Oryza sativa Japonica Group: one gene and its partners. The protein of the gene in region 2 binds, or shares a complex with, the protein of the main gene of each other region. Links are inferred from orthologs where the notes say so. Each region holds a gene or a part of one and is shown on either strand. Other genes may lie near its edges.

Region 1 (4,231 bases), on a different chromosome or scaffold from region 2:
AATAGTTTGTGTGTTTGCACACTCTGATAATTAGATTTGCTTGAGGAGCACCTTAAGTAGTAGTATTCCACATAGTGCTAAGTGCTGATCTATCCTATTGAATTGCCTGCTATATTGTTTTGAGAATGAATTATATGTTTATGATTATGCTTTAGTAAAATTTCTCACTTGAGTTGCATTGTTCAGGGAGGAGTGACCGGAGGGAATGCAAGACCCAAGAGGTATGCCACGAGATGAATTCGCAACCCCGAAGACGCACAAGAGAAAGGTCGTTTCCCGCCCCTTGCCTCCCAGCCAAATAAAAGCTGAACCTGAGCTGCTGCGGAGGGAGGTTCCACTCACATCCGGCAAGACCAAGAAAGCCCCTAAGATAACCTTCAAGAATGAACCTCGCCATTCGGCTCCGCAATCTGATTGGGGAACCCCCGATTCGGTGCCAGAGTTCGGTCCAGCTGATGAATACAGAGCGTTACGGAAGAAGTACCTGCTGCTGGAGGATGAGAACGGTGAGCTGGACAAGCAATTGAGCCAGGCTGAAGAGGAAGCCAGCGTTCTCGAGGATGAAAAGTTTGCGCTGCTGGATCAGCTTGTTGTGTTGGAAGGCCTTGTGGATCCTTCACAGATGCAGCCACCGAGAAGGCTGTGAGATTCTATGCGTGTTCGTTGCCTGTTCATAGTCCAATTAAGTTACCTGTTACTGCTTCCTGCTAGATATGTAACCAATTGTAATGGAAGAGCAAAGACATATTATATCGTTTATTATGGAAGTTTGAACATTTAGAGCACTTGTTTGGAGTTCTTTTTGTGCAATATGAAAGAGTGCTATCAGTTTAACTGAAATTTAATCGTGGCAAAACAGAAAGTTCAGCAAGCATGAAGCTTTGCGCCTTTGCCTCAAGTTTGAGTTATGCTTTTAAGAACTACGCAACTGGTCTTGGGGAAAAAAGCTGAACAATTTGTGTTTCATGTGATTTAAGAAACTAAATCTGTTCATGTGAAGATCAACTGATCATCACAAACTTCTGCGTAATGTTTGCACAAACACATATACTCCAGCATTAACATAAAAAAAACAAAACTCATTCATCACGGCGAATTGACGGGCCACAATTTTAACAGTATGATTTCTCAAAAATCTTTCTACAATAGCATTGTTTCGATAACCTTTTCTAACCAAATAATTAATTAACTTCATAATCTACAGTATATTGAATTAATCTATGAATTTATCGGCTAATTAGCTGACAAGCTGAACAGGGCTGAGACTGAATTTCTTCATAGTGACTCTGCCGTGTGAGTGCTGACGCAATCAAGATCCAACAATTTTAGGCCCACATAAACTTTCCAAGCCCAACTCATGAAAAGCCCAATTCTTTTTCACCTTATATAAACCCGAGCAGCAGCAGCATCCGCCTCAGCTCAACGGTCAAAAATCTCTTCCAATTTGAATATCTCTCCTCCCAAACGGTCGGCTCCGGAGCGGCGCCCGGACGAACACATGGCGGCGGCGATGGCGACGACGGCGGCGGCGGCGGCGGAAGAGGCGGTGGTGGCGCTCGACAAGGAGACTCTGATGCTGATGGGGTGCGGCGACGCCCCGCCGGCTGCGCCGTGCGCGGAGTGGGAGACGTTCAAGGAGAACGTGCGGCCGCTGAAGCGCGGCCGCAACGTGGGCCTCCTCAACCGCGCCCTCAAGGCGCACGCCGACCCCGCCCAGCGCGCCGCCCTCCTCGCCGCCCGGAGGTACCGCCGCCGCTCCCGTCACCCGCGTCTCTCGGTTCTTGGGTTTGGTTTGCTCTGGATTTCTTGATTTGGGGGCGGGTCTCTGGTAATCTTTTTTTTTTCGTCCTACGTTTGATTGATCTACTGATTCAGGAAAATGATCGAGGCAATCGACGAATACAGCGGCGAGGATCCGCTCCAACCATGGATAGAGTAAGCAATTTCCCCTTTGTTTCATTGATTCGTATACTAGTAGTAGTAGGTTGAGCCGAAAGATTTGCCATGTCGGCGATTTCTCTGCGGTTTCCGCAAGCTTGCTGCTCATGGCATGCCTTTGTCTGCTTAATCCACACGCAGCTGCATCAAATGGGTTCAGGAGTCGTTTCCGACAGGCGGGGATTGCTCCGGGTTGGTGGTGATCTACGAGCAGTGCGTGCGTGCCTTCTGGCACGACGACCGCTACAAGAACGATCTCCGCTACCTCAAAGTGTGGCTGGAATATGTGAGTTTCATGAATTCAGGATTGGTTCTGAGGTGGATTGGTTGGATTGGATTGGATTGGTTTGGTTTCCTTTTGACATCCAGTTTGGCTTGATCTTAATCTGTATGCAGGCGGGGAATTGTGCTGATTCCGAGGTGATATTCAGGTTCCTGGAGGCCAACCAGATTGGTCAGAGCCATACCAATTACTACTTGTCCTATGCGTCGGTAATGGAGTCCAAGAACAAGCTAAAGAAAGCTAATGAGATTTTTAACCTTGGTATTGCCAGGTGAGAATTTTATGGGGGATTGGTAGTTTAGTTTCTTCAGATATGAGAAAGGTTGCGGATTTTCTTCAGTGCTAGTCTGCTAGTAGATTATTTTTTAGTGATAATAGATAAGTTCCTTCTAAATTTCCATATAGCCTTTGACAAAGAATTCCTGTTCTAGATTTGAAGTCTGTTTTCTTCGGATTTTTAGTCAACAAACATATAGTCTTACATATCCCCATTTACTGTTTTAGTTCTATGAATTATAGTAACTAAAATGCATTAAACTAATTTGGAGTAAGCTTATGAACCGTTGTAGCTGAAAACTTTTACCTTCTCTATTTGTTTTTGGAGGGATATGACTTTTCTTGCCACTCTACCTATACCTTAATACCTAAAGCATACGATTTATGCATTTGTTTGACTGCAAGGTGTATAGTCTTCCATATTCCCACTCACCATTTTAGCTCTATGTATTATAACTAAAATGCATTAAACTGATTGTGGAGTAAGCTTATGAACTGTTCTAGATTAAAACATGTATTCCTGACTTCTCTATTTTTTGTTGGAGGGATATGATATAATTTCTCAATTTTCTGCTCTACCTACACCTTAATACCTAAAGCATACTATTTATGAATTTTGTTTGATGGAATGGTGCATATTAAACCGTAAAATTCTTTGGCTTTTTTTTTTTTGGTCAGGAAAGCAAAGCCTGTGGAGAAGTTGGAAACTACATACAGGGCATTTCTTCAGAGATCATCCAAAAAGAAGGCACATCCTGAGGTGTACATAGGCTGATTTAGTACCCTATTTTTAATCTATATTCCACTGCCCACTGAATGAATTCTATTATCTGTTGAAACAGGATGACACAACTACTGATGATCATCCAGTACGCAACTTTGGGACTGTCTTGAACCGTGGTGAAATCAGTAAGTTTGCTGTGATGGTATGATTAACATCAATTTCAAGTGCCTGGCTGGGTGAACTAATGTTGCATTTTGATGTGGCAGGAGGCCAGCATGCAGAAAACTCTCACCTGGTGAAAACTCTGCAAAGGTTATTACTTGTTATACGCATGCAATCAGTATAAAGAAATCTAGATGAACCTGGAATTTTTTTACTGGTGTTGATACTGTTGCAAATTTGCAGAGTTGATGTCAATAGGCCACTTGCAGTTTACACAGATGAGAATTCGTTACCTAGTCATGGCCTTGCTAGAACCAGGAGCAACAACACGGCCTGGCAGACCCTTGGATCACAAGCAGATCGGAACAAAGAAAATAACATGAGGCCTGCTAAATGGACATCACACAAGGTTTTTTTTTTCTCCCCTAAGCCACTAGAATTCTTCAAAAGGTCCCTTTTTGCGACATGTCTCGAGGTTTATCGGTTCAGTAATGATCAATGAACTGATGATAGTATTGCACTGAACAACAGATTCCTCAGAAGGTTGGATCGAGGGCAGCAGTTCAGCCGACTCGTGTAAGCTCCATTGAAGTCTTCGTAGATGACGAATGCGCCGAGTATGCTACTGTGCCCTTAAGTTAACAGTTTTGAATAGTTCTTTAAAAAGAGTAACTGTAAAAACGTATAATTTTTATATACCTTCCTTTGATTATTTCAGGGAACCAGTTCCCCAAGTGCCAAAGAGTACAAAACCATCTATTCTGAAGCTTAGGCAAGCAACAAGCAGAAACCTCAAGCAGTAAGAATAGTTCAGCTTATATTATGTTTCCAGAGGTTCTGTTCCTTTC
Region 2 (4,141 bases):
ACACCACCACATGAGTTTCGTATTTTTGTTCACATGTCACAAGTTTGCACTCGCTCGAACGTTTCGACGGTATAAACAGGGGTTAATTGGATCAATGCCACTGTAAATGTGACAAATCAGAAAAATGCAACTACTATTTATGTTATCGGCCAGGTACCACTGAAAATTTTTAAAATTAGAACCATGCCACTCCCGTTACTATTTCCGTCGTTCTCTCTCACGTCGTCATCCTCCTCTCTCACGATGGCACGGCGAGGGCAAGGCGTCATCCTCCGAGGACGAGGCGGTTGCCGGCGAGGACGTCGCGAGCGCGGGGAGCAGGTGCGGCCGCGGTTGCCGCTGGCGAGTACGGTCACGGGAGGTCGCGGAGGTCGCGGGCGCCGCCGGCGAGGACGGGAGCGGGGAGCAGGCCGGACGGCGAGGCAGTCGTCGTCCCCGAGAAGCTCCGGTCGCCGCCGATCCAGCTCCTCCTCCATGACGAGATCCGAGCAGCACCAAATCCTGTCGACGGACCAGTCGAGGACTGGGCTGTCTTGGGCATGGGACAGCACTGGACTCCCCGTATGGTCGAGCAAGGTGAACTTGCACCGCGCGTTCATGGGACCATCAATTCTATCTTGAAGAATGAGCAAGAAGGACATGCTCCATGGTGAGCCAGAAGCTGCTATGGTATTGGTAGGTGATACGCCAGAGGGGAGCGGGCGTCCGCCGCCGAGGACGGTCGCGGGGAGGTCGCAGAGGTTGGGGAGCGGGCGCGGCCGTCGCCGGCGAGGACGGGAGCTGGCGCGGCTGCGGCCACGGCCGGCGAGGACGGTCGCGGGGAGCGGGCATGGCCGCCGCCAACGACGGCGCGGACGCAGCCGCTGTCGCCGCCGAGGACGGTCTTGGAGGCGGGTGCGGGCGCTCCTTCCCCATCCGTCGCCGTGCTGCACTCCTCTGGCAGAAGAGCTCGTCCTCTCGCCGCTCCTTCCCCATCTCGACGCCTCTCGCCGCTCCTTCCCCATCCGCCGCCGTGCTGCTCTCCTCCGGCGCCATGTTGCCCAACCGCCGTTGAGACCAAGATGAAAGGTGAAGACAGAGACGGCAAAAATTATGACAGAGAGGACGGAAATAGTGACGGAGTGGTATGGTTCTAATTTTAGAAAATTACAATGGCATTAACTCGATTTCATAAATAGGAGTGACATTTTTTTATTTGCCATATTTGTAATGGCATGATCCAATTAACCCTATAAACAGAGGGCCGACGAATTGGGGTAAAAGTGGGAATGGGGTAACGGAGATCGGAACGGACGCCTTTCACCCTTTCCGGCTTTCCCCACTGGTTCTACAGGCATCCGCGCGGATTCAAATCAAATCCCTCGTCGTTACCCATTCCAGCCTTCCCCTCTCACCTTCCCCAATCTCCCTGCGGTAGAACCCTAGAGGAACCTTCTAGAACCCCCGAGCCCCCCCCCCCCCCGCGGCCCCCGGCGAAGCCAGCGAGATGATTCTCCGGACTCCACCGCAGCGGAAGCGGCGGGCGGACTCCGACGTCGACGCCGCCGCCGCCACCGCCACCACCCGGAGCCCCGTTTCCGACCGCCGCCTCGTGCTCTACGACCGGCCCACCGCCCTCGTACCCGCTGGCGTCCCCGGGGAGCCCATGGATGACATGGTCTGCACGTACCACTGCCGTCAGATGGTGAGATCGCTTCGCCCCTATCTTCTACTGCTATTGTTGTCTTAGCCCAATGGTCGGTGGAAGCATAGCGTGTCTAGTAATTTCGGTGTTACTCCAGCCTCGAGCTCCCATTTAGCTCCAGGTAGTCTCATATTTGATATGCTTAGCTCAGTTGATTCCACGCATGCCACATCAAAAATGTAGACAATTATCGATTGATTGATCAATTTGTAAGGAAATAGATGGCGTGGAGCGAATAATTGTGTGTGGCTGTTGCAGTAAGCGTTATTACATGCCAGTGTACCATATTGATATATACATACTGGTGTGTTCTTTTTTCTTGTATGTAATTCTCGTAGGTGAAATCAGAATTTATGGTGGCATTGGACACTGCAGAGAAGCAAGTTCAGGAGTATCGAGCCACACTTGATGATATGGAGGAACGATTATCCAAGAGTGGTATGCTGTTCTTTTTTCGCATGTGTACCTTCTTAAGTTCGATTTGCTATATCCGTTGGTCAAGATACATTTATGTATCACTTGAAGCATGCACGGAGTTTGGGCCTACCTTCTTCCTAGTTGTGTTTAGTTTGATTTGCCGGGCGCAGAAAGTAGGAAGGACACGTAGTATTGAATCAGATTCACTGCTCTAAGCAATCTACTGTTAGAAATAGGTGTTAGCTTATTACATTCGAAGCAATTGCATGCACATACTTAAAGGTAATCAATAAACATTTTTTTACTGCTTCAGAGGATGAGAGGGCAACATGCCAGGACAAACTGAATTATGTCGAGCAAGAATTGGCAGCAACAAAAGGTCGGGAAAGTGCAATGCAAGAGCGATTATTAAAGGAGGTGGGTGACTTTCAGGAACGCTACTGTGATCAAATCAAGAAGATAGGGGAACTTGAGGTATGCAAATCTCCTTTGGCACATGACCTCCATCCCGTCACATAGCTGGTGACTTGCCTTTAATGTACACCCCCCATTTCTTTTGGTTAGTTCCTTCTGCACCACTGAATATTTGCAAAAGGCCTCATTAACTCCCTAATAAAGTGGGTCTGGACGTACACACCCACTGGGACATTGGCTTGACACATAAGTGATGAGGCAAACATTCAGCTCCTTTTTTTAATCGTATATCTGCTCATCTATTGGCATGACTAATGAAGATCTTGGTGCTGCAGACGCAGCTGAAAAAAGAGATTGATTCTCGAATTGCTGCTGAATCATCGTCAGCATCCGCAAAGGAGTCAGTCAAGGAGTTGGAGGGGAATTTGCAGCGTTTATCTGAAAATTCAGAAAGGGAGAAGAAAGCCCTTAAGAAGAAGCTTTCATACTTGCAAGACGACACAAAATTATCCATTTCTAAACTAAATGCGGAGGTCTGTATTGTTGAACTCTTGTGCATAATGATTTATTACTAGATATTGGCTTATCTGTTTGAAAATGTCTGATGATAGCTTGAAAGAATGAGACTCAGGGCGCTAAACTCTGAGGACGAAGCAAAGTTGCTGAATGAACAGTTGGAGGACTTAAAAAAGCAACTAGATGAGGTCAGCTTATCTCTAATTTGCATGCTTGTCAGCTCATATTTTAATTTGCATGCTTATTTTTGTCTAGCAATATTTCTAATCTTTCCCTGCTAAGAATAGGCTATCTCATTAGATCATCTTTCTCATCTATTTTACTATTTGTTTGATATTTTTGTTCAACATCTATATTGATTTAATTTGTTTCTGGTCCTTGCCAGAGTGTTCGTGAAAATAATGAGATGGAGCACAGGCTATTGAATTGCAGTTCTTTATCTTATGAACGTACTCCATCAGACGATCAGAAGTTGATAAAGCTTTTGCAAGAGGAGCTCCGGAATTATGTGAGCATTATAAATTTGATATCTCCCAGATAGGTTCATAGCTGATTCTATCTGACTGGTTATTTTTCTTGCTTCTTTCATGCACTTGTACAAACTACAAAATGCTTCTTTGGATACACGTGGCTAAACAGCGAAATACCAGCTATTGATGACTGGCAGAATCTTATGTAACTAATCAGTGTCTTGCCGATATAAGCCTTACATCGTTATTACCATTACCTGCTTAGTATTATTAGATAGCATAGGGCCTTCCCATTCATAGTGCAGGGTAATAACACTGACAGAATGTGTCATATTAAAGTTCTGCCCACCCACCCCCCCCTCGCCCCCCGATACCGCAACATTATTAGCAGTGACTAGTTTTTTTTCCTCGAGAACAGCACTTGCTAGTAATTACTGATGCAAAATTTATGTTTTAGTTCCAAGGGAGTTGTTTTTCTATGGCCAGCTACCATAAATGTAGAATGTTCAAGCTGTATTGAAAGCTCTAATCTTCGCACAAGTGCGCTAGGCTGCTTGTTCTTATATTCTTCTTCTTGGATTCTAGATACAATGCTTTCCTGTAGCTGTCTTAAAATTGGATATTGTACAAGTGCTGCTTA
Region 3 (3,501 bases), on a different chromosome or scaffold from region 2:
TATTTAGATTATTGAGTATATTATTATCGCCATTATATAACCGATTATAGTGGTTAATTTAATATTTTAAGATAAAATATGTCTAAAATGAGTGGTCTAAGTAATACTCCCTACATGCCAAAATGGGTGTTAGGCTAAATCACTTCTAACGCAAAAGACCGAGAAATAATTTGATTATCGCATCGGTTAGATCACATCCGTACAGGCAAGCAGTGTGATTGGGGGCTTGATGGTAGATGGTTTAAAACAAACCAAATTTAAAGGACTAAGAGGTGATAGTTAATGTGCATGCATGCACACACACCTTATATTACAAGACATGGAAAAAAGTTGTTGTGCCGTGATGGAAGGACTACAGTATAAGTTTTTGTATTTTCAAAACATAATTTTCCAAACCGTGAATCAAATGATATGCTCTGATAATATAATGAATAAGCGTATTTTTTTAGTCTGGTGAAGAATAAACTTTTCGATTTACAATTCGGCCGAATAAGCCCAGAAAAACAGTAAGAAACAGATGTCTCGTTTGGTAAGACGCTCATTTTGCGAGAACACTCTAACCAGCTTTACTCTATTTTTTTTGGTGAAACCAAAATTGTTTGGTAAGTTATAACTGTGCTAAACGGACGAATATGAGGGCAAATAGGGGTTGTTGGCGGCAAAGGGCAAATACCTTCCCTCCGTTTCTAAGGGTATTCCCAACCCAATGTCTAGGATGATGTCCATAACATTATATAAGTTGCCACCTAGGATAAAAAATGATGTGGCAAGTAAATAAATGAGGAAAGAGAAGGAAACCATGTCTTGCATGAGATATGGTTTCTACACAAAATATCATGTAAGATAAATTGCATTAAATTGAAGTATGGAATAGTGGTGTTTATATTGAAAGAGTAGTGTCTAGTACTAATTTCTTGATGATGTAGAGTTTATGAAAACTATGTCTAGTGTTATGGGTTGGGACTGCCCTAAAGGCCAACCGTCCGAACAAGTTCAAAAACCCAGCCACCCAGGAGCATTTTCTCCAAGAAAATGGTGTTTCTACGGTTCTACTAGTAGTCTACTGGTACCAGTACAATTCATCATCAACAAGAGGTAAAGGACTCGAAGAGAGCGCGCGGCTTGGGCGAATCGCGCCAACCGAAGCCCACTGGCCCACCGCCCACACGACCGTTGGGAGCGCAGGTCCGGCCCACCTTTAAAAACTCCCGAAACCCACCCGCACGCCGACACCTTCTCTCCCCCGCACCTGACCCAACACGACCCATCGACAAACAACGCTCCCAAGTTCCCAAGCGCCGCAGCCCGCAGCCGATCCGCTCCACACTAGCCGTTGCCTTTGCCCGGCTTTTCCCCCCCTTTCCTCTTTCCTCTCCCCCCATCCGCCGCCGCCGCCGCCGCCGCACGGGAGGCAAGAGGAGGAGTTAAGAAGGTGAGGCGGATCAGGAGATGGCGTCGAGGACGGCGTCCAAGGACATCATCACGCTGCGGGGCTCCGCCGCCATCGTCAGCGAGTTCTTCGGTAGAAGCCGATCTCCGCTTCCGTTTCTTTTATTTTTTTTCGCCCTCGGCTCCTCTCACGCGTGCGCGCGCCCGATAGGTGTTTGATCGAATGCCTTTTCTCGTGTGGCAGGCTACGCCGCGAACAGGTGCGCGCTTCGCGCGGTTGCGGGTGCCAGGATCGACGGCCGCCGCTGCGCTGATGCTGGTTTCCTTTGAAAGAAAAAAAATATAAAAAACGGTTGCTGCAGATTCAGGGTTAATTTCTGATCCGGGGTGTTTTGTGTTCTTGGTTTGTGCGTGGCGCAGCATCCTGTACAACCGCGGGGTGTACCCGGAGGAGAGCTTCACCAAGGTGAAGAAGTACGGCCTCACGATGCTGCTGACGCAGGACGAAGGGGTGAAGACCTTCATCGCCAACCTCAACACCCAGCTCTCAGGTCGTCTGGCCTCACTCACCGGATCACTAGCCTGCCTGTCTCCATTTGGTTTCTTTTTTCTTTTTCTTTTGCTGCTGCTGATTGATCTTGCCTGTGTTTCCTGCGTTGCCGCGCGCAGAGTGGCTGGAGGCCGGGAAGCTGCAGAGGATCGTGCTGGTGATCATGAGCAAGGCCACCTCCGAGGTGCTGGAGCGGTGGAACTTCAGCATCCAGACCGACCCGGAGGTGGTCGACAAGGGTGTCATCAAGGAGAAGAGCGACAAGGAGATCATGAGGGAGATCCAGGCCATCATGCGCCAGGTCGCCTCCTGCATCACCTACCTCCCCTGCCTCGACGAGCCATGTAAGCGCCATTACCACCACCTCTACTTCTTCAGTGTTCAGTGTTCATCGCCTCTGCTCTCCCCCCCAATTCCTCCCAGCTCATCCGCATTCGTCGATTGATTGATTGATTGATTGATTGATTTTGCAGGCATATTCGACGTGCTGGCGTACACCGACATGGACGTCGCGGTGCCCTTCACCTGGGTGGAGAGCGACGCCAAGCTCATCGAGAATCCACAGATGGTGAAGCTGCATTCCTTCGACACCAAGGTGAATATCACTGAATCGACTCCGTTTCTTTTTTTTCGCTGCCTCTCCCAGATTGCTGACGTTACAGCGCCGTGTTCTTGCCATGGCAGATTCACAAGGTGGACACGCTCGTCTCCTACAAGGTCGACGAGTGGGACGAGGAGTAGAAGCCGCCGGTGGAGGTTGGAGCCATGAGGAGGAGACCCCCTTGCTAGTTTATTGCTGCTAGCTTATTTAGCTAGCTTAGCTTGCTAGGCGTGATGCTTGTGTGAATCGTTCGTTCATTCACGCCCTAGCCCTATCGGAACTCGTGTGCTCTGGGAGAATCCCTTTTCTTGTTCTTTACCGCATTTTGGGAGAATCGACTGTGTATCGCTGCTTCACCATGATTTTTTTTTCCTCAGCCTTTGAAATCCTGGGTTGAAAGTACCACTGGAGTTGAATGCATCGTGATCGTGTGCCACGATTTCTTCACTGTGTTGTTCAATTATATGTGTTGTTTCTCACTTCAGAATCTCAAAAGATTCAAGGTGTTTTGAAGTCATATGCTCTGTGAATAACAAAATGCACTTAAATTAAAAGTAATTCTGTACCATCTTCAATCTCAAGACAGCCGTATCCTCAAAGTTTATGTTATATCGACCACCGTTTTTCTTGTCAAAACTTGCATATTAAATTAGAAGTAATTTTGTACCATCTTCAATCTCAAGACAAAATGCACTTCTGCTGAATGAATTTATTCCAGCTTCGGAACTTCCAAGGCTGTTTGCAACAATCCATCAGAAATCTTACATTTTGCCAGACAACCTTCGTTGTCCGGACAAATTACACTTCTGATGAATGTATTTGTTTCCAGCTTCCAAGACTATTTGTGACAAATGTAAAACCCAGTATCAGCATGGGTAACAAACACATTGGAAACTAACTAACACCAAGATGCTACAGAGCTACATTTACATTTACATATAAACCAGAGGAACCCCAGGAC

The links.
Region 1: mitotic spindle checkpoint protein MAD1 (region 2) and mitotic spindle checkpoint protein BUBR1 share a complex: the UniProt entries of both Arabidopsis thaliana proteins name them as parts of the mitotic checkpoint complex. The link is inferred for Oryza sativa Japonica Group from reciprocal best matches to the Arabidopsis thaliana genes MAD1 and BUBR1.
Region 3: mitotic spindle checkpoint protein MAD1 (region 2) and mitotic spindle checkpoint protein MAD2 share a complex: the UniProt entries of both Arabidopsis thaliana proteins name them as parts of the mitotic checkpoint complex. The link is inferred for Oryza sativa Japonica Group from reciprocal best matches to the Arabidopsis thaliana genes MAD1 and MAD2.

Annotation. Positions count from the first base shown.
Region 1 is NC_089036.1:5,218,445-5,222,675, forward strand, and holds the start of mitotic spindle checkpoint protein BUBR1, read left to right. Parts: upstream 1-1,416; 5' UTR 1,417-1,498; coding exon 1,499-1,743; intron 1,744-1,875; coding exon 1,876-1,935; intron 1,936-2,079; coding exon 2,080-2,224; intron 2,225-2,334; coding exon 2,335-2,492; intron 2,493-3,175; coding exon 3,176-3,257; intron 3,258-3,339; coding exon 3,340-3,406; intron 3,407-3,487; coding exon 3,488-3,533; intron 3,534-3,626; coding exon 3,627-3,792; intron 3,793-3,914; coding exon 3,915-4,000; intron 4,001-4,101; coding exon 4,102-4,182; intron 4,183-4,231. Other genes in the region: uncharacterized protein, read left to right, coding at 206-646. UniProt on the Arabidopsis thaliana protein: Essential component of the mitotic checkpoint. Required for normal mitosis progression. The mitotic checkpoint delays anaphase until all chromosomes are properly attached to the mitotic spindle.
Region 2 is NC_089035.1:38,693,153-38,697,293, forward strand, and holds the start of mitotic spindle checkpoint protein MAD1, read left to right. Parts: upstream 1-1,331; 5' UTR 1,332-1,486; coding exon 1,487-1,684; intron 1,685-2,022; coding exon 2,023-2,122; intron 2,123-2,414; coding exon 2,415-2,575; intron 2,576-2,850; coding exon 2,851-3,048; intron 3,049-3,126; coding exon 3,127-3,219; intron 3,220-3,416; coding exon 3,417-3,539; intron 3,540-4,141. UniProt on the Arabidopsis thaliana protein: Required for the execution of the mitotic checkpoint which monitors the process of kinetochore-spindle attachment and delays the onset of anaphase when this process is not complete.
Region 3 is NC_089038.1:24,797,652-24,801,152, reverse strand, and holds mitotic spindle checkpoint protein MAD2, read left to right. Parts: upstream 1-1,228; 5' UTR 1,229-1,449; coding exon 1,450-1,522; intron 1,523-1,633; coding exon 1,634-1,649; intron 1,650-1,809; coding exon 1,810-1,940; intron 1,941-2,058; coding exon 2,059-2,283; intron 2,284-2,412; coding exon 2,413-2,534; intron 2,535-2,623; coding exon 2,624-2,680; 3' UTR 2,681-2,987; downstream 2,988-3,501. UniProt on the Arabidopsis thaliana protein: Required for the execution of the mitotic checkpoint which monitors the process of kinetochore-spindle attachment and delays the onset of anaphase when this process is not complete.